2 linked regions of the Xenopus tropicalis genome follow. The protein of the gene in region 2 purifies or fractionates together with the protein of the main gene of each other region. This does not show direct contact. Links are inferred from orthologs where the notes say so. Each region holds a gene or a part of one and is shown on either strand. Other genes may lie near its edges.

The links. The genes of interacting proteins can lie anywhere in the genome.
Region 1: the proteins of carnmt1 (region 2) and rnf113a purify together in Homo sapiens (affinity purification with mass spectrometry; 3 studies listed by BioGRID and IntAct, counting the BioPlex papers as one, with this or other methods). This does not show direct contact. The link is inferred for Xenopus tropicalis from reciprocal best matches to the Homo sapiens genes CARNMT1 and RNF113A.

Annotation. Positions count from the first base shown.
Region 1 is NC_030677.2:156,459,637-156,469,861, forward strand, and holds rnf113a (RING finger protein 113A), read left to right. Parts: upstream 1-59; 5' UTR 60-77; coding exon 78-168; intron 169-1,046; coding exon 1,047-1,120; intron 1,121-1,447; coding exon 1,448-1,555; intron 1,556-1,796; coding exon 1,797-1,904; intron 1,905-2,438; coding exon 2,439-2,548; intron 2,549-2,672; coding exon 2,673-2,779; intron 2,780-3,334; coding exon 3,335-3,424; intron 3,425-3,601; coding exon 3,602-3,695; intron 3,696-4,115; coding exon 4,116-4,222; intron 4,223-7,106; coding exon 7,107-7,177; 3' UTR 7,178-7,241; downstream 7,242-10,225. UniProt on the Homo sapiens protein: Required for pre-mRNA splicing as component of the spliceosome. As a component of the minor spliceosome, involved in the splicing of U12-type introns in pre-mRNAs. E3 ubiquitin-protein ligase that catalyzes the transfer of ubiquitin onto target proteins.
Region 2 is NC_030677.2:131,480,602-131,492,470, reverse strand, and holds the start of carnmt1 (carnosine N-methyltransferase), read left to right. Parts: upstream 1-6,183; 5' UTR 6,184-6,581; coding exon 6,582-6,700; intron 6,701-7,935; coding exon 7,936-8,131; intron 8,132-9,037; coding exon 9,038-9,201; intron 9,202-11,149; coding exon 11,150-11,290; intron 11,291-11,869. Other genes in the region: nmrk1 (nicotinamide riboside kinase 1), read left to right, coding at 387-449, 2,095-2,168.

The DNA of each region.
Region 1 (10,225 bases), about 25 Mb from region 2:
CCTGCGTGCGCTTTCTAAACAGGAAGTGGCCTCAGCCAATGCGCGCAATCTGGAGCTAGTCTGGCGTCACAGGAATAATGGCGGACTCTAACGCACCAGTTTGCAGTTTCGTGTTTAAAAAAAGTGCCCGAAAGTTCGCGGGACGGAAACGCAAAGAATCGGACAATGGTGAGACAAGGAGAAAGTGGGAGTGCAAATAAATGTTTATTATAATATAGTATTATAGGCATTACACGCTTACCGTGTATAAAATTCAGCAAAGTGTTGGGATGGAGTAAATGAGTTAAATGCAGAAGAGAGCGCAGATACAACTAATTGCGCAAGTGTTGTTGCTGTTAGCAACCAATAAGGTTTTTGCTTTTATTTTCAAACGTGTATATTGGCCAACTATTCGACTTTGTTCCTTACTCAAAACCACTATCTTAAAGGAGATGCAGGTGAGGGTGGCTGTATTGTTTGCTGGATATAATTACCATTAGAAATCAGTAGCATGTACCAGGGAATTAAGGTCCAAATGACAAAACAAAAATCAAACCCATCAAAGTATTTGCAAAACATTAACAACAACAAATATAATTATACATACAGCCTCATTTACTGTTCATTGGTACAGGTATGGGACCTGTTATCCAGAATGCTCAGGGCCTGGGGTTTTCCTGATAAGGGGTCTTTCTGTAATTTGGATCTCCATAACTTTAGTTTGTTAAAAATCATTTAAATATTGAATAGGATTGTTTTGTCTCCAATAAGGATTAATTATATCTTAGTTGGGAATCAAGTACAAGATACTGTTTTATTATTACAGAGAAAAAGGAAATCATTTCTAAAAATGTGAATTATTTGATTAAAATGGAGACTATAGGAGATCCGTAATTTGGAACTTTCTGGATACAGGTTTCCGGATAAGGGATCCCATACCTTTATGTCACTGGGCTCACATGCATTTGGTGTCTTAAATTTATCGAATTTCAGAATAGTACTTAGATGCATCTGTTGTATAAGTGTGTTGTACTATTCTGATCAGTCCTTTACTGATTTGTTTGCAGAGAGCAGCGAGGAAGAGAAAGGTCCAGTGATAAGGAGGATAAAGAAGGATGTGGTTAATCCCATGATTCAGAAGGTTAGAGTCACAGGTATTCACTATGTCACCCTGAGGCCCCAGGAGCATTAAGGAGCTTTATAAAATTTTCTGCCAGTTAATCTTTCAGAGTGGGCAGCAACACTTCTCCCAGATATTTCCTGTAGACCTCTCTGTTTAGAGATATAGATACCACATCATCTTCTCCTGGCAGCTAATGGCTGAATGGAAGCACAACACATGCCATAACCCTCTCCAGCCTGTCACCCTGTGTGCAGGACAGACGTTAACATGCCACAGAAGGGATGTGTGTAGTGTTTGTCCTCTTGAGCTTTCTGGTAGTTGTATTTACCTCTGTGTGTGATTTAGAGCAGGCAGCAACCAAAGGACTGTGAAGATTACAAAGCAAGCAGCAGTGAAGATGAGGACAAAACAGCGAAGTCTATCACTGTGTCTTATAAATCTACCCGATCTGCGGTAAGAGACTCTTTTGGAATTGGCTTATTCTTAGCACAGGCTTTATGTCATAAATGTTAAAATCTTTGAAACCCATCATCAGTTAGTTCTTTGTGATATTTTATTCAGTTTGTGAATCAGCCTATGCTGTCTGTCTTGTTTCAATATAAATGATGCATTGAAAAAAAATCTGTATTTATAGAATGACATGTCTAAGACACCCCCCATTTCTTACTATGTATGCATTCTTTGTTTCTTGCAGAAACCAGTAGGGCCAGATGACATGGGAGCCACAGCTACATATGAACTAGACACTGAAAAAGACAAGGATGCTCAGGCAATTTTTGAGAGGAGCCAGAAAGTACAGGAAGTGAGTATTTAGTATGTGATGCAGTGGATTATATATTCACCTTAAACTATGAGAGAACCACTAAAGCAGAGAACCCCAACCTTTCTTACTCATGAGCCACAATCAAATGTAAAAAGACTTGGAGAGCAACACAAGTGCCATAAAAGTTTGTGGAGGTGCCAAATAAGATAGGTAGCCTCTATGCACACCATCAGCTTACGAGGCTTTATTTGTTAGCAAATCTTGTTTTTATTCAACCTAAACTTGCCACCAAGTCAAGAATTCAAAAATGAGCACCTGCTTTGGGGGCAGTGAGAGCAACATCCAAGGGGTTGGTGAGCAACATGTTGCCCCCGAGCCAATGGTTGGGGATCACTAAGGAATGCAATAAGTGTTAGTAAAGCATGCAGTGTTCTGCATGACTTACATGCAGTTTCTTTAAAAATTCTGTGCTTTTTTTCTCTTCACTTTACTTTCTTTAATATTGTAATACTCTCCTTTTCATAGATGACACTCTGTTTAGTTCCCACTATTTATTTTGCTTTAATCTGACAGGAGTTGAAGGGGAAGGAAGATGACAAGATCTATCGAGGAATCCACAACTACCAGAAGTTTGTGAAACCCAAAGATACCTCTATGGGCAATGCATCCTCTGGCATGGTTAGGTACGTGTACCCCTCCCACTTTCCATTCTGTTTTAATTTAGAAACATTTCACTTTTCAATCAACTGGGTGATTAAATCCTAATAGTTTAGTCTGCATTGATAACTTTAACTTTTATCATTTTAGGAAAGGACCAATACGTGCCCCAGAGCACCTCAGAGCCACAGTACGTTGGGATTACCAGCCAGATATTTGCAAAGATTACAAGGAGACTGGGTTCTGTGGGTTTGGAGGTCAGTTGCTGGATTGTGTTGTACCCCTTTCCATTAAATGTCTGTTGTTCCTTTGGCCCTTTTTGCCCATATTTTATTCTCTCTTCCCTTACTATTATTTATTATGTAACACTGCAAGTTTTACTCACAGCTAGTTTCACTTATACTGGGCCTAATTTAAGTACACAAGTATGAGCAATTACCCATAGCAGCAGTCAGTTTTTTACTTTTATTTTCTAACTTGTGGACTGATTAATCTTATAGCTGGCTTCTGTTAGCAAAGGAACAGTTTAGCTTCCACTCATATTTGCAACCTTCTGTTTCTGCACCCAAAGTCACTGTGTTGATGAAACCCTTGAGTATGCATTTCTGTGCTGAAATCCACTCGCAGTGGCTCCGGGTACAGACACATATCTGAGTGGATGCCCACAGATCAGCTAAATTTCGGCTAGTGCATATCCTGAGAATCAGCCCTAGAAGGCATTAGCCTGGGAATTCATATCCGTCACATTCTATTGTACATTTTAAGTTGAAACCTTCTGCATTTGATGAACATGTGCATGTTTTATCATTCAGACAGCTGCAAGTTTCTCCACGACCGCTCTGACTATAAGCATGGATGGCAGCTGGAGCGGGAGCTTGAAGAAGGACGTTATGGAGCAAATGGTACAGTATAAAACATGCAGTTGCATACAATGGGATAAACTGATGTAGCGCTGATCACAACATTTCCAAAGGGCTAGTTCCTGCTAATCACAGGGCAATTATAAATCCTTATTTAATGCACAATTGTAAATTTCCTGTTCCCAGCATTCTAACAACTGATTGGATATTGCTTTTCAGATGAGGAAAATTATGAGGTGAGCAGTGATGAAGAGGACTTTCCTTTTAAGTGCTTCATTTGCAGAGATTCCTTTAAGAATCCGATTATAACCAAGTGAGTGCTAAAGCTGTTAATACAGGTTTGACTGACTTGTTTGTCTAGGGGTTATAAATAATACCAGTAACAATAATTATTATTGCAAGTTTTGTTGTAGATTTAATACAAAATGTTTTTTATTGCTGTATTCTGTAAACGGGGTACAGCACAGATGGTAAATACACTACAGGTAAACGGAGACTTAATACTGTGTTTTGGGCATAGGGTGGCACATTGGATGAATGTAAAATACTGTTAATTCTGATGTACAAGCTACATAATACACTACTTTCTGTGACATAATCAGCATTTTGTGTTTCTGTGTTTGAACAGTTACAGTTTAATTAATATATATGCCCATTTGTGTTAATTCCCAAATGCCTTTTCTATTTATTGTTAAATAACTATACATTTTTTTATGCATTCCCTTTCTTTTAGGTGTAAACACTATTTCTGTGAGAAATGTGCACTTGAGCACTACCGTAAATCCAAACGTTGCTATGTATGCAACACACAAACCAATGGTGTTTTTAACCCAGCTAAAGGTAAGTTTTGGAGTGATATGATGGGTTGGTTGTGCTCACAATGCATCACATTGTCTTTCATTTCTACACGGTTTAAGGAAAAAAGGAAAGTTCTCTATTGCTATACAGTTATTTGTATTCCAATCAGCAAGTTCATTAGATCATTGCATGTCACTTTCATTGGGTCTTTTTGTAAGTAGGATATGTTTTTTTTCTATATTTCATATACAGGCATGGGACCTGTAATCTAGAATGCCGAGGACCTGGGGTTTTCCAGATCCAGTCTTTAAATTAGATCTCTGTACTATGAGAGATGGCCTTCCCATAATATGGAGCTTTCTAGATAGTAAACAGATCCTATACCTGTACTGTTCTAATCTAATTTTTTCACTGTAATGCAATGTTTAGCACGTGTTAGAAGGGAGGATTTGTTGCAGTCATATGAAAAAGTTTGGGAACCTCTCTCAGCCTGCATAATAATTTACTCCACTTTCAACAAAAAAGCGGTGGCATGTCTTTCATTTCCCAGGAACATCTGAGTACTGGGGTGTTTTCTGAACAAAGATTTTTAGTGAAGCAGTATTTAGTTGTATGAAATTAAATCAAATGTGAAGAACTGGCTGTGCAAAAATTTGAATGCATGTAACTGCTCAATACCAATTACTGGCAACACCAAACAGGTCGATTAGCTCATTAAGCCTTGAACTTCATAATCAGGTGTGTCCAATCATGAGAAAAGGTATTTAAGGTGGCCAGTTGTAAGTTATGCTTCTGTTTGACAACATGGGACAGCATGGGATCTTTAAAGCAACTCTCAAAAGATCTAAAAACTAAGATTGTTCAGTATCATGGTTTAGGGGAAGGCTACAAAAATCTCATAGGTTTAAACTGTCAGTTTCAACTGTAAGGAATGTAATCAGGAAATGAAAGGCCACAGGCACAGTTGCTGTAAAACCCAGGTCTGGCAGGCCAAGAAAAATACAGGAGCGGCACATGCGGAGGATTGTGAGAATGATTACAGACATCCCAAAGATCACCTCCAAAGACCTGCAAGAACATCTTGCTGCAGATGGTGTATCTGTACATCGTTGTACAATTCAGCACAAACTTAAAAAAATTAAGAGGGGTCCCCAAACTTTTTCATATTACTGTATACTCTCTATTAAAGGAGAAGGAAAGTAAAAACTAAGTAAGCTTTATCAGAAAGGTCTATGTAAATACAGCCATAAGCACTCACAGAAACGCTGCACTGACTTCTCTGTCAAAGGATTTGTTGTGTCTGTTTTCCTCTGCCAGAGACACGCAGCTCTCTCCTTTCTCCTGCTCCCCCCTCCCTCAAGAATGCTAAGAACTCACTCCCCCCTTAGGAATGTGGATCTGAGCCAATCAGCAGGAAGCTTCCTCATAGTCTTACTTAACTGCACATGTACACCGGTCTTGGTGCAGGAGCGAGGCATTATGGGAACTTTCTTTACACAGCTCAGTGTTTTTTTTCTTCCTGTTTGGCTTCTGATCATCTGAACAGGTGAAATATGGGGAGACTTAAGGGCACTATTGAGAGAACTGAAGGTATGCCTGCAGCTTGAGATTAACTCTTTATTAGCCTTTCCTTCTCCTTTAAATATTTTTCATTCTGTTTTGGGGAATGAGCTGATGGATAACTTTCTATGGGTTAAAATTCTCTATTTGCTTTTTATCTGAGATTACAATGGTCCTGTTAAAGGAACAGTAACACCAAAAAATGAAAGTGTATAAAAATAATTAATATACAATGTACTATTGCCCTCCACTGGTAAAAGTTGTGTGTTTGCTTCATAAACACTACTACAGTTGTGTGTTGTGTAGCCATGGGGGCAGCCATTTAAATTGAAAAAAGGAGAAAAGGCACAGGTTACTAAGCAGATAACAGATAAGTAGCATAGATTCCCGTTGTATTCTACAAAGTTTATCTGTTATCTTCTTATGTAACCTGTGCCTTTTCTCCTTTTTTTCAATTTAAATGGCTGCCTCCATGGCTACACAACAGCTATTTCTATTAACTACAGTAGTCTTTCTGAAGCAAACACACAACTTTTACCAGTGCAGGGCAACAGTACATTATATTTTAATTATTTTAAAACATTTTTATTGTTTAGTGTTACTGTTCCTTTAATGGCTCAAAAATCAGATCTGACAGCTCACATAGAACTCACATCTTGCAAATTGCATTAAAGTCTTAGCGCCATAGTTGCAGAATATCGTATCTATAGTGCAAGTGAAAATTAGCCCATTTACAGTTAGAATACGCACTGTGATTTCAAGGCAAGTCAATTCAAGTTATCGGTGCCCCTGCAAGTCCACACATATGATTTATATGTAAGCTATTGGAAAAGCTGCAATGGTATACAAAACACAGATGTTAAAGGAACAATAACACCAAAAAAGGAAAGTGTTTTAAAGTAATTAAAATATAATGTACAGTTGCCCTGCACTGGTAAAACTGGTAAGTTTGCAACAGAAACGCTACTATAGTTTATATAAATGAGCTGCTATGTCAACACGGGGGCAGCCATTGAAGCTGGGAAAAAGGAGAAAAGGCACAGGCACTTAGCAGATAACAGATAAGCTTTGTAGAATATAATGGGGTTTTATCTGTTATCTGCTAAGTAACCTGTGCCTTTTCTTCTGTAAATGGCTGCCCCCGTGGCTACACAGAAGCTTTATTTATATAAACTATAGTAGTCTTTCTAAGGAAAACACACCAGTTGTACCAGTACAGGGCAGCATTACATTATATAGTAATTACTTTTATACACTTTCATTTTTTGGTGTTACTGTCCCTTTAAGGCAGTTTGAGACAAAAAGCAGTGTCTGATTGCTTCCTTCCTTCTTGTGTCTCTTAATCTGGTTTTCCTTTCCTTTATAGAGCTGATTGCAAAGCTAGAAAAGCACAAAGCAGAGGAAGGAGGGTCAGACTCTTCAGAAGAACCGCTGTAAATTAGAGATCTTTTGTGTACATAAATCATTGTTTTTGTAATGAAATAAATGGTGGGGGAAAAATCAAATTTCATTGCAGACTTGATGCTGTTTAACAGCTTATTTATGTTATTTTATTATTACTGATGGAGTCATGAGAACCTGTCAGTGATACCTATCCACTTACTGTACATTAGAATTGCATCACAAAGATGAAGATGCATCAGCAATTTGTGTGTGTATTCTGGTCTGTAAAGTATCACTGATAAGGCAGCTTCACCTATGGTTAAACGGTAATTAAGGAAAGGCTACATTTTACATGTAGATGAAATGAAAAACAAGTAACTCATACAGGGCTGCATTACAATGCAGGGCCTAGTGAAGAAATTATTTTTTGAGCTGCAGAATAAAAAGAATCATAGGGGCATATTTAGCAAGTGGTGAAGGATAGTTCACTACAGTTTACTGGTGCAGTTGGCAAATGGCTCCTAGAGCTGCCTTATCTTCTTTCTCTGTAGTGATTGCCAACAATGAAAATACACATCTTAAACTGCTTCCAACCTGGCTTTTAACCTTACATGCTCAGCTTTGGTGATTGCTTCCAAGAGAAGATCAAGTTTTGCAATATGGTGCCCATTAACCTTGCTGTGCTTCTCTTCTTTTTGGGAACAGGTAGGGTAAATGGGACTGTTTTGAGAGGGAGGCCAATTTAGCGGTCTTAATTTATCTACATAGTGGTTTTGTTCTCATTTAATCCCTTCTACATTGTGATGATCACATTTTTAATTCACGTGTATAGCATAACAGAAGAGACTAATTCAAGAAAGTAGTACAAAATGAGCTATTTGCAGCATAGCGTCTTTATCACACAGAATGTTGCTTTTATGTATCATTCCCATTATTTTACATTTTAAAGTAAATAATCTAATTTAATCTAATAATCTAAGTGTCTAATCGCTCCCTTTAATATAATAATGCAGTAGGTCATTGCCAGTGGCTTACTGTGTAGAGAAGAAAAGGAACCTTTACCCCTGAAACATGGCAGGTCTCTAAATAATTATACTTTTCTAGTAGGATTTTCTTTTTTGATAATCCCATACAGAACCACTTCTAGAGCATGCATACATGCTAGGTAACACCAGCCAATGATTGGACAGAGCTGTGTCCATCTCTCAGATGGCTTCCTGTTATAGTAAGAATCTGCATTTCTTCCTGTTGTGTGATCAGTGAGTGACACATAGAACATCACTAAATAGTGGGTTAAGGTTAAAGATGTAAAAGGGCAATATTTACTTATACCTTTTATTTATACCTTTGTGCAGAAAGTATAGCTAATCTTTGTTAGAGCCTTTAGTAATTGTGTATCATTGTTTCATACAATGCATAACTACAGCAGGGAAAATCAGAATTGAACATGTCAAGGTTTTTCTCAGTTAATAATATATTAGGCTATAGGCATGAAAACTAGGCATGAAATTTACACCAGATAGCGCTAACAACCCAACTAATACGAACATACAAAGAAATCTAAACAAATAAGTTAAAGTTATTAATAAATTAAGTTACTACTGCTCAAGTGCAGTTACCCCTAGCAACTAATAAGATGTTTGCTTTTAAACAGGTGACCAGTAAATTTTAATGGGTTGCTGCTTCAGGGCAAACTTAGTGACTTTAATTAAATAACCTGTTGGGTAGCTGATCTACAGTATTTTCATGTACAGCAAAACGTGTGGCTCAGTTTACACTATTTATTCATTAAATGTCAATGGTTTTGATTCCAGCTTCATTGATGTATATTGTATATCAAGCGCTGCTTTAAATGAATAAGGCTAATAAATTTCGGAAATCCACCATTCTGTTTAGACATTTAGAACCAACTCATTTTTGTTGAAACAAAGTCTGATATTGGCTTCTTTTAACAGGCAATGTACTGAACCAGGTGCAAGTGCTATGTAAGCTTAGGAGTGCAAAATGATATTTTAACACCTAATCAAATAAGCCATTAACCACAGGCTCTGGAGCCCCTTCTTGTCACAGCTATGAGGAGTAAGGAAAAGGGCACATCAAATGGACCCTCATATCCCACCCCTCTTGTATCCAGCATGCTATTCATAGTTCTTACCATATGTAGAGCTATAAGAGGTGGTTTTCATATGGTTAAGGCACAGTTTTGACCCCCTTTGAATGCAATCACCTATCCTTAGAAAATGTCATTAGAAGAAAGATCCAGTGAGTCTATATTAAAAAAAAAAAGTATCCTTTATTACACTGGCAATGTGTAACGCACAACTCACTATGGTTCTACAACACGTACAAATGTGTCTTCACAAACTATGTACATGTTGAACACAGTATGGTTCAAAAGCACCGACCTTCATCCTTCTCTCAGCCACAGACACACAACAAATGTACGTATATGTGTCTCTAGCAGGTCAAGGGCAGGGGTCATATTTTAAATTATACAGATGTATATTTATATATATTTATATGTAACAAAAACATTTAAATTGGCAAACGGAAAACGACAGTTATGAGGACAAGTGACAAAGCATTACAGACACCCATGCATAAGCAATTACACATTTAAATGCAGGTTACATGAGAACAATTTGTTCCAAGATGTACAACATATTTCCATCTACTTCATTTCTACTAATTCAACTTAATCAACTCTTTTACTAAAGTGACATGGCCATGATTTGGGTACAGATTGCAGCCTCCCAACACTGTAAAAAACCAATGATGTGGTTGTCAGTTCTTCAGACAAGTGGATCTAATAGCCCAGTAAGGCTAAGATATTGCAGTGTTTCATACATGGACATCATGTACTACGTATGACATTGCGCATCCACACTCTTAAAGGGAGAGTCAGGGGGTGCTGGGAATTGCATATCTGTAGGGCCACAGATTGCACATAACTGATGTTACCTCTATTTTTACTTTAAAAGTAAAACTTGGAAACAAAAGGGCTCAGAAGTTATAGTTATGCTACAGATAGCTGAAACAGTTTTGTGGTAACGATGCTTACTAGATTTGTTCAGGGTCTTTTCAGATTGTATAATATGTAAA
Region 2 (11,869 bases):
AGTTTAGATGCCAGGGGCATCCACAGTATCATGTTGGGCTGCTGTACAGTTTACTTAAAGTACTAAATACAAGGTGGCAGTTCAGTAGGTATTACATATCTTAAATTTAAGATATGCCCCAAAATATTGCAATATTAAAGTTTAGAAAATACTGTTGATGCAAAAAGAGATGCTTTTTATTATGTTTTGCCATAGAAAAGCTATATAGTTAATCCTTAATAGATTATTCTGCAAAGGCCAGGTACCAAAAAATTTAATTATGCAAGAATTGTTAAGGTGTTAAAAAAAGGCCCAAAATAGCTGGCATGAACTGAAGCTGGCAAGTTATTTCTGCCACCTTGTATATAGTACTTTTTACAGAAAAACATTTTCTCTTTTCTTCTCAGTATATTTGGATGGAACCAAATCTGAAGATGAAATACAGTCTTTAGTCTATTCTGATATAATAAGTAGGTAAGCAAATGATCTAGATTAATACTAATAGTATTTATTTATTAAGGATGAGTTGAACCATATTTAGTAATATATTCTGTTTTCACTGCAGCTCAGCTTATATTGTACTGTTAGTTTTATAGCTGACCGTTCCCCTTTTTGGGATCTTTGCTTTCTCTCTTAGGTACTGTAGGTGGTACTGCAAGAGTAGCTTTTCTTCTTTATTTACTGCTTCTTTCTGCTATCTTGCTTCCATTTTACTTCCTTCTGGTGTTTGAATATAATTATATTATAGGATGTATAATCCCGTTATCCAGGATGCCCTGTACCCCAACTGTTAATGGAAAACCAGTTGTATTTGTTTTGTTTTTGTGCTGTAACAATGTAAGCATGGTGTTCTATGTATTTGAGAAAAGAACCTTATCTGCAAATGCACAAATATACAGTGTACAAAGTGTCAAAAATTGTTTGGACCTGGGGTTTTCCATACTAGTTCAGTGTTTTTCATCTAGTTTATGTACCATATCTTTAATATGCACACTCAATCTATATGGTGTGTGGATGTACCTTTATATATTTGAAAAAGACAGTATGCACCTCATTTTAGCATGAGCTCAATGAATAGGGCTTGAACTGAACATACTTTTTGCCTTTAGAGCTTTACTTAAGAAATATCTATGGTTTTTGTTATTATTATTTCTGGTATTAAAGTAGAAAAGGGAACAAATTTCACATTAGTGCTGTGACTTCCTGGTTATGAGAAGCCAAGGAGAAATTGATAGTAATTGATAAAACTAATTACCAGTCTTCTGATACACCCTCTGATAATGAGCTGCTCAAAGGCTGTGGCTTAGGGCAAGGTCACATGAGGCAGATTGTGAGCCTCTCTATTAATATACTTTTAGTTGTGTATGCACCTGGAAACATTGAATCCACCCGGGCAAGCACACACAGCCGATATCCACCAACAAATGCAAGATATTGGTGGCCTGTGCCTGATTCTGTATTATGTATACTTGATCACTCATATACAGTTAATACTAAGGGGCTTATTTACTAAGATTGGAGATAAATATCACCGGTGATGTTGCCTGTAGCAACCAATCAGCAATTAGATTTAAACAGTTACCTGCAAGTTAGAAATTAAAAGCAAAGCTCTAATTAGTTTCTATGGACACCATCAGTGGTGATATTTATCTCCAATCTTAATAAATAAGCCCCTAAGTTTTATTCTATACATATGCATTGGTTATTGCATAATAGGTATCACTGCCTGGCCTAATTGTGTCTATGATTAAGTGCATTGTGTAGCACGAAACACGTAAGGCAACAAGAATTCCCAATAAATGATTTTGGATTTTACAAAGCATGGATTGAAGTCATTCCCTCAAAGTGCCTGCCAAGATAATAATACCACATTTAACTTTGTAATGGATTCTGCCTGATAATTTCAAAAATGGTGATGGATGGTGTAAAATCAGAATAAGAAGACATAAAAGCTTAAGAAATAGTACTTTTATTATACTCATCTTCATAAATACAGCCCTAAGAGTGAAGTTGGAGACAATTATGTTTACCTGCTGCTATAGCAGAAACTCACAGGTTGCTATTACTTGTATTGTGTGTATATGTGCTTCACAGTGTATTGTTTATCTTTGACAGCTTCTCAATTCACAAGTAAAGCTGCTAAAAGAAAGTGTTGGTCGCCTTCTCTAGGAATTATTCATTTAATGTAAAAATGAATCCAGAAGACCACAACCCGGCACAATATACAAAGAGTACGGACCCAAACATGTTTAATATGTAGTAGGAAGATATCACAGGTTAAGAACAGATGAAAGGAACATGATTATTTACAATGTTGCATCATACTTATAATTGACAAACTCAAAGCAATGGATTTTGTTGCTATATTGTGCATGCTACCTCACAATGCTTATAACTAAAACAATTTGTCTGGAAACATTTGTTTGACTTCAGTTGTGTTTGTTGCAACATGGAATTCCTTATGCTGTGGAAATTTTGTATAGTGATGTTCTGAAGTAAAGAAAAACTTTAGTATCCATTTTTATTTACACCATTATGAAAAGAATACAAAGTATCTTTTTTTTAATTAGCTATTACACCTTGTTATACCTCTCTGTCGTTTTGGAAAAAAAAAACATATTAGAACTGTTGCATTTTACAAGTATAAAAAAAGAGAGATATGAGCATTCATACTAAGACTATCCTCAAGTGCACTGGTGTCAGTTTTACTAGTCAAGCAGGGCACTTCAAAGGCATGGGTTAATACATGTGTGTAGGATTAAAGGGGACATATTGGATAAATGGGAAAACCCTAATTTTGTAGGCAATTATGAATAATATCCGGTGCTGGTTTCCCTTTGGGCTAAACATTAATCCTATCTGTAACAATGGCCCCTTTATTGGAGCTCCCTATAGATCCTATCACTACACTGTCCGAGTTTGAAATGGAGAGTGGGCGTGTCCTAATGGTCCCTGCCAGAAGCACAGTAGGAGGGGGAGAGCCAATCACAGCCCTGCACTCACACAAGCACAGACAGGCTTCAGTTCCCTATCAGGTCAGCCTAGTGCAGTGTACAGAGGGCCGCCGGCTCCCCAGCTCATCCAGAGAATTGAGCCAGCAGGAAGTGGAACTGATGGGCGGGGCTAGTGGGGTTTTTGTGGAATTTCTCAATAAATCAGTCAGAAACACAACTTTTTTAAGCACAATCCTTCTATATCTAGGAGTATAATTCACTGGTACATTCAGAATTTTTATAGGATATGTCTCCTTTAAAATACTATTCATAAAAACACCTCATTACTTTTCATTTTACAAACTGACCATTCCAATGGTTCATAAATCTGTTGACCATAGTATTTGTACTTTTTTGGAGTGGCAGGAGAAGATCTGAAAGTATTTTAATTGCCACTGCTGAACTGAGAACTTAAGCACAAAAGAGAAATTCAGTTTATTGCAATTGCTCTCATTAATTTGGATCTATCATGTAATTTTTGAACAATAAATGGACATTTTTGGGGGTGCTTTGCTAAGAGGTCTTTGAGTGCCCTCCCCCCCCATATTTGGGACCCAGTGTAGCTGAAAGAGTAACCAGCCTGAAGATTGTAGGATTTAAAGAAAAGGATAGCCCGGGCTGCTGCTCCTGCTTGTAAAAAAACTGCACTGGCCTATCAGTTCCTCAGAAGAAAGTCCCAGGGCCCCAAAAGGTGTGGTTATGGTTCTTCTGTGTGAGCACCACGGAGCAATGCTCTTGTTTTGCTTCTTCTTTCTTCACGTATTCTGGTGCCGACACATGCACAATGGAGTTAAAAGATAGCTTTTCTAGTAAAGTTCAGCTTTTCATTCTACAGTGCATGTGCACCCACACGAACAAAGAAGCAGGAACGCTCTGTAGCACTTACACAGAAGGGCAGTGGAGTTTCTCCTAACAGGAGCACCAGCCTGGGGTTTAAGGTAAGTGCTTACAATTACTGGGGGGTGCCTAACCTTTGGTACCCCCCAGTGATTGTAACTTTCCTTCTCCTTTAATAGTTATTTTCTCTCCTAAATAAAACTATGCAATTTGGGATGTTGGCTTTCACAAGAACAGCACATGTGATGTGTTCTTTTGGCTGCTTGGGTAAAGAGATTTGCACTTCCTGATGTGATGGAAATCCTGCTCCATTCCTTATACAGCTACTGTGGGCAACAAATCTCCCCAAAATACCTTCCCACCACAAAGTAAATTGCTGGTGGCAAAGCAAACGCAGTACTTTGTTTTCCAAAGTTTCCTGGTGATCAAATTAATAAATGTATATTCTAGGACCAATAAGGTACTGTTGGCAATTGGTATATCTCTGGCTCACTGATACTCGGTAAAACTCCCAATACAAAGCCCTAATGGGATATGGAAATGACTTTTAAAAGTGACTGTCACCAATTGTCTTCTCCTAAATTAGCCCTTTTTGTTTCTAAATTGCCATAAGTCTTCCCAAAACACAATGGGACCCTTTGAAGCCACTGTAGGAAAAAAATGAGCCTAAAAACTAGATAACTGTTACTGTCAATTTTACCCATAACTTAGCCATTTTTGTCCGTAAATTGTTAAACAAAACTGAAGTTAAAAAAATAGACACTTAAAACTCAGTTTCACCCAATATCTTGGGTGAACATCTTGTCCCTATTGTGAAAAATTTTGCCCTGGTTGGCACAAAAACACTGGGATCCTCATGCCAAAGTAAAAAAAAAATTGAATTGAAACACTCATGATTTCCTTTTGCCAATTTCACTTATTGTCTTTTCCTAAATTAGCCATGGTTTTGTCCTTAATTGTGAAAAACATGGCCCTTGTTTGTACAAAAAAAACCCAAAACACTGGGACCCTCCAACCCAAACTTATTTTGTCGCCAGGTTGTGAAAAATATTGACCTAATCTTCACATAAAAACACTGGACCAAAACTAAAACTAACCAAAAGTCTGTTTATGGGTAACCATGGGTCAAGGTGGCAGGGAAGGTACTCACTTCAGTGTTAGGATCACAGGGAATAAAGAGAAAAACATTACTTTTGTCCAATTTACCAATTGTCTCCTAATTAATCATTGTTTTGTCTCAAAATTGTCAGAAATCTAGCCCTTGTTTGCACAAAAACATGGGGACCCTCAGATTAATGATTTAATGCACAAACCTTCCTTTCTGGTCAAATTGGGAGAAGAAGATCTGATGGTGTTTGTGGGACAGTCCCCTGATTTTCGTGGGACAGTCCCTCTTTCGACAGCTCAACCAGTAGTCCTGGATTCTTACTGAAAAGTCCCTCGTTTCCCTTTGATCTCCTTGCATTGAAGCTAAAAAAAGATACAAATTTAATTAAAAGTAGCTTTTGGCAGAGAACCCAGAAATCTAGGCTGATGCCAGACACTGCGTAGGGCTGATATTTTCGGCAAGCGGAAAAACGCTTGGCGAAAATTCAGCCCTACGCCTGCTACTTGTGCCTGCACCCGAATGAATGTGCAGGCACATGTAGCCGATGAAAACGTGAGACTTTGCATTATCTTGCGTTTTCATGCGTATATCGGCTACATGTGTCTGCACCCGAGTATATCTCATTCATTCTGCACTTAGATACATTGTTTCTCACTTTTAATGAAATCAGTGGGCTTTTGGCAGTGAGCCCAGAAAGGTAAAAAGCCCCACCTGCACTGAGATACAAATGTAACTAATAAGCTAAACAGGTCTCTTGGGGGAACTGAGACTCGCAGACTTTCAAACTCTTGCAATTTTATGAGTATTTCTGCTACATGTGCCTGCACCCGAGCGTATTCTATTTATTCGGGTGCAGGCACAAGTAGGAGGCTTAGGCCGGAATTTTCAGCAATCGTTTTTCCGCTTGCCGAAAATATCCGCCCTATGCCTCGTCTGGCATTAGCCATATGGGCAATTTCACCTTTTTCAGCAAAACTGTAATAACACATTACACAAGACCCCAAAACCTTGAGAAATTTGATCAAACTTTAAATAACCTGCCAAATGTAATCAAATGAGAGTGGGTGTGGGCAGAAATGGGCATGGTCAGAAAATTCACCATGCTGCGCTTATTTTTGTCCCTCTTTCCGTTTTCAAAATGTTGGGAGGTATGCAGAAGCATATATTAGGATGTTGCTGCACCAACCATGATAAAAACTAAAGTCGTTTTTTTCTACTCCACAGCACAAGTATAGGTTTTAGAGAGCAGGAAAAAAAGGTAACTCAGTTGTGGCCAATATCGGGAGCTGAGGCTCTAATACAGCGGTGGGGGTGTATGGCAGGCAACTTATACCAAAAAGAAACGAAAAACGTTTATTTTTGTCACTGATAAAAGTAGGAACTGTGAAGAGTGGGAAAAACTTTGTAAAAGGCTGTTCTTCTGCAAGCGTATGATTGCACTGCCGTAAAGTAGGCCGTCGCCGGCAGTCACTGCACTTATATACTTGTAGTCGTGACGCCATAGTCTCGCGAGATGAAATTTGTGCTGTCGGGATTATCTGTCAGGCAGGAGCCAAAGAGGTGGATGTTCATGGCGTTGCGGGACGTTTAAGCAGCGACCCGGGACTGTTGGTTCTGTTAAGAAAATCGCGTCTGCCCAACGTAAAGCGCAACTGTTGAGCGTTATGGAGGAGCAGGATATATGTGCCTACAGGGAGCGACGTCAGCGCAAAAGTCCAGAGGAGGAAGAGGCGCTGGAAAAAGACCACTTCTGGAAGATCATCAGTGCCTTTATAGGCTATGGGTGAGTATCTTTGTCTGGCTGCCGTGTCTAGCATGCACTTCTAAAGGCTTTGTTTATTTACATGGTCTAGCATCCATTTTGGCTGTATTATGATGCTGGGGGTAGTAACTAATATCATTTTTAATATGAGCTGGAGGAGAATGGAATAGATATAAATGTGGATCCAGAGTAAATCTCACTTTCTCAACCATAAGCATTGCCTTAACCCTTACTGTTGTAGGGGAAATGTCCACTGCTTAAAGTGCTAATTTCATCCTCAAATATTCTTTAAAATTAGTATCTTATTTATAACCTATTTGGTTATAAATGAGCTAAGTGGGACTGGAATAGATGTGGATTTAGACTAAATCGCATGGATGCTCTCTCATCCATAAGCAGTTATAGCCTGTAACTATGATTCATTTTATTATACATAACTATGTCATTGCCATTATAAAACACAAGGTTTGGTAAAAGTAAATTAAAATGCTTAATATCTATGGTGTTACCACCTGACTGGTAAAAATGATGCTTTATGCCAATATTATTAATTTGGGTAAAAAAGATAGCTATATAGGAAGGCTGGTATTTTTTTTTTTTTTTTCAAGAAAGGTTGGCAACCATAAGTATTAATGCTAGGATTTGATCAATGTAACTGAGATTGCATGCTTCTTTTTTGGTTTTTTGCACTATTTGCCTCCAAAATCTTGTGTTAGTTCAGATTCTAAAGGTGGCCATACACGTTAAGATCCGGTCGCTTGGCAAGGGCACCAAGTGAGCGGATCTTCTCCCGATATCCCCACATACAGGTGGCCCTGGGGCCAAATGATCAGATTACAACTACGGCAATGGGCGCCGTCGGTTCGGCGACCACATCAACAATCAACAAGCTGATGTGGTCCCCGATCTGACAATCTTTTAACTTGCCCAATCGATATCTGGCCAATTTCAGGCCAGATATCGGTTGGGCATGCAAGTCGTTGCTGCCGCTACATGGGCCAATAAGCTGCTGAATCAGTCTAAGGGACCGATATCGGCAGCTACAATCGACCCGTGTATGGCCACCTTAATTCTGCCTCTGCTAAACTGTGCAGGATATGGAAAGTCAGATCTCTCCATTTCTCTGGCAATTGCATTAACCCAGTGGCCAGTACTTAAAATGCAAATTTAATCCTCAAATATTCTTTAAAATTAGTATCTTATTTATAACCTAAATTTGTTTAATTAGTGAATTCTGTCTTTGTTTGTTTATTTAGAAGTAGCATTCATGAGCAAGTGAACCGCACAGAAAGACAATTTAAGTCCTTGTCAAAAAATCAACAGAAATTGCTTCCCCACTTCGTTCCTCACTTGGACAAGATCCGTGAGTGCATAAATCACAATCAGAAAATTCTGCAAATGATTGTAGATGATTGTACCCATATGTTTGAAAACAAAGAATATGGTGAAAAAGTAAGTACAATTTTATTTAAAAAATACAGTTTAACAGTTAAAATTCTAGTCTTATTGAAATTGAATACTTGATAACTGAATGGATTATTTTATTGCTATAATTTAATGTTTTTTGTATGTTTAATAATGCATACATAACTGAAGGTCTAGTGTAGAGGCTGGGGTGGTAACTGCAAAGTTCCACTTTACCTTGGAGCTTTCTCTTTAATTTCTAGCTAATTACTGTGGTACAAAGCATACAAGCTGGCAAGTGATGCTCAGTATTCATAACATAATGGCAGCGTCATACAATTTGGTAGTCAGTGGGTAGTATACACCCCAATAAAAGGTAAACCCCTTTAATCACACTGAACCATAAATAAATATGTCTGACTCTTGAAATAATATGTAATAACAAAATAACATGTTTCATATTTATTGTTTAAAAAACATTTTTGGTAGAGGACACCCTTAGAAATGTATTTTATGCTTGCAGCACAGTGTGTTTCAAATCATCAAGTTGCATGGCACTTGATGGTAAATGTATGTTATTCTTGGGTCTGTAATCACATGTAATAGATCCTAGGTGTTGATCTTTGTTCCCATATGTATCCACCGGCAGGAAGAACAAGCTCAATTTACACATGCAGTACTGTGTATCTGTAGCATTCTGGAATGCACCACATGGTCCAATTTTGAAAAGGCTCATGGGTACAAAAGCCAGTTATATATATTATGATGTATGTGCTCTGCAAATTGGCAGCCATTACAAAATACACATAGTATATTTTGTGTTGTAGAACTTGATTTTCCACGTGAACACCATTTCATCTGTTTTGAGCATATGTGTTTATTGCTGTATTTATAGATGGAGCTTCCCTTGAAATCAGATCACATAGTATGTAAGCCTATGTTTCCAATACACAGGGATACAGAAAGCCAACTCCTCCTTCAACCTTTGATATGGACAAACTTAAATCTACTATAAAGCAGTTTGTGAGAGATTGGAGTGAGGATGGCAAGTCAGAGAGAGACGCTTGTTACCAGCCTATAATCGATGAAATTCTTAAGCATTTTCCAAAAGATGAGAGGTATGTAACTTTAGGCATTTTGACACTGGCATTTCCTAGGAATGAATAGTAACCCCAAAAATGAAAGTGTTTTAAAGTAATTAAAATATAAGGTATTGTTGCCTTACATTGGTAAAAAGTTATGTTTGCTTCAGAAAGACTAGTATAGTTTATATAAATCTGCTGTTTAGGCATGGGGGCAGCCATTCAAAAGCAGAAAAGGCACATGTTGCATGGCAGATAACATTAGATATATAATATGTTATGTGCAACTGCAAATCAGAGTGGATGTAGCTGTGCCAGGTTTTGCAGTGGCACAGATACATAGATTACATATTCCTAATTTGGAAGGGAATTAGTACTCTATTATAACAGTTTGTGTAGAAACTCCATGTCTCCATGTCAATGTCTTTGAAATTTACTGTAACAATCAGTTGGCAACAGCTAAAATTTTTTAATGTCACTTTAAGTAGTGAACGTTCTCCAATGGGCACTTTCCACTGGTGATTTTAGCAGCCTGGTGTGACATTGGCCCTAGGGTATTGCCACACAGACAAAATTGACAAATCTGAAAATATCTTTGCATTGTAGTGCACGATTTAACGCCTTTACTAAAAATGATCATTTCCCTGCAAACTGGAGGATGCATCACTCTAGGGCCAACACATACTTGAAAAAATCCCACTGCAAAGTCCATGTTGTGTTGCCAAAAGCTCATGAACCACAATTTTCTTTAAGTACTGCCTGCCCCAAGTATTATAATATTTAGTGCATTTAACGCTTCTTATGTGTTTGTGAATAATGCGTTAGTACTATTTCTATTCGCTAATTAATGCAATGCATTAAAATGAAGGCCTTGCAATGATGCGTTATTTAGCGCAGGCGATATGCGTCTTAACGCATGCTAAAAGACTTTGATGAATCGGTACTTATTTATCGCATCAATTTTAACGCAAAAAACCATGCGATAAGCGTTATCGCACTTTAGTGAATCAGTAATGTCTCTAAAATGATTCTAAATAGTGCCCAGCATAACGCACTTTTCTCCCTGCACTCAGTCTCATGCAGATCCTGTACCACAAACTGCTCAACTTCAGCTCTCTCAGCTACTTCCTAGTCTAGCGTGAAGCTCCACCCCCATTTCTTTGCTGATTTTTCTCTATTTTTCTGAAATCAATCAGAAGTGCTCAGTAGACACCTCTTCGACCATCACAGTCAGAGAGCGAAAGAGAACTCAGAAAAGGGGATGGAGCTTTACACTAGACTAGGAAGTAGCTGAGACAGCTAAAGTTGAGCTGCTTGTGGTGCAGAATCTGCATGAGACTGAGTGCAGGGAGAAAAGTGCGTTATGCTGGGCACTATTTAGAATCATTTGAGTGCAGGGAGAAAGGTATGAAAGGTAGAGACGTTTATGATAAAAGACTTACTTATTCTTTAAGTGCCACATGCTAAGAAACACACAAGGAAAGCAGTCGCTGCCCTGTAGAGCTTGCAGTCTGATTAAGATAAGCAAGCTTCCTGACATTACAAATGAAGTTTCCATCTAAGAATTCAGGTCTTGCTTCTTTCATCATGCAAAAAAAGGATAAAAACGCTCTTTGGATGGACTTTCTCTTTAAGTTAAACTTACTGAGCTCAGTTTTATATTTCATATACAATATATGAATCAAAGGTGTAGTGGAGGAACACTGCTGCCATTTGCATGCTTTAGTGTGTTACAGTACCTTTTAAAATGAAAGTTGATATGGGACATAGCTGTTTAGTTAGTTTACATTTGAATCTGACCTGCATGTTAGGCATCTGCTCACTCCAGCCTTTATAGATTACATTTTTGCCTAACTAATTATATTACAAATATTTTTCATTTTCTGCAGTCTTCATTTTACCCAGTTTAATTTTTACACTGTACTGTTCCTTTAATGCTTTAATAGATCGTTGCACCACTTAATTTCCATTTTGTATCTTCCAGTGATGTCTCCAATATAAATATCTTAGTGCCTGGTGCAGGGCTTGGTAGGCTGGCATGGGAAATAGCTAAGCATGGGTATTCTTGCCAAGGGAATGAATGGAGTTTCTTCATGCTGTTTTCCTCAAATTTTGTGCTCAATAGGTAAGTTATAAATACAGACCCTGCAGAGTTGTGAGACACTTGATGCATGTATTAAAAAAAAAAAAAAAAAAAAAATAAATATATATATATATATATATATATATATATATATATATAATGTGTGTATTTAGGTGGAAAGGCTGCTAACAGGAATACAAAATGGAATGGGAATTGCTATTAAAGATGTAGTAACTTTAAAGGGGTTGTTCACCTTTGTACAACATTCACAAATCTAATAGTTCACATTGCTAGAACAATCTTTGCCATATACATAGTTAAGGAAAAAAATGTGCAGCTGAAGAGATATTCACCTCATAATCATCCCTCTGCTGATCCTTCACTTCTGCACAGACCCTGTGCTGGGGGGTGGGGGGAGGCAAGGGAGAAATTAACCAATGCCCGTTCATTTTATGCAACTGGTTAGAGTGCAGAAGCAAGCAATAGGAATAAACGAAAGGCCTCGACATGATGATGTAAGCATACATATAGAAAGTTCTCAGCATGTAAGGTTAAAATTAAGCCACTCCCATCTCTTCAGAAAACTGATCAGAGGGACAGAAGGACTGATTTAACAGGTAT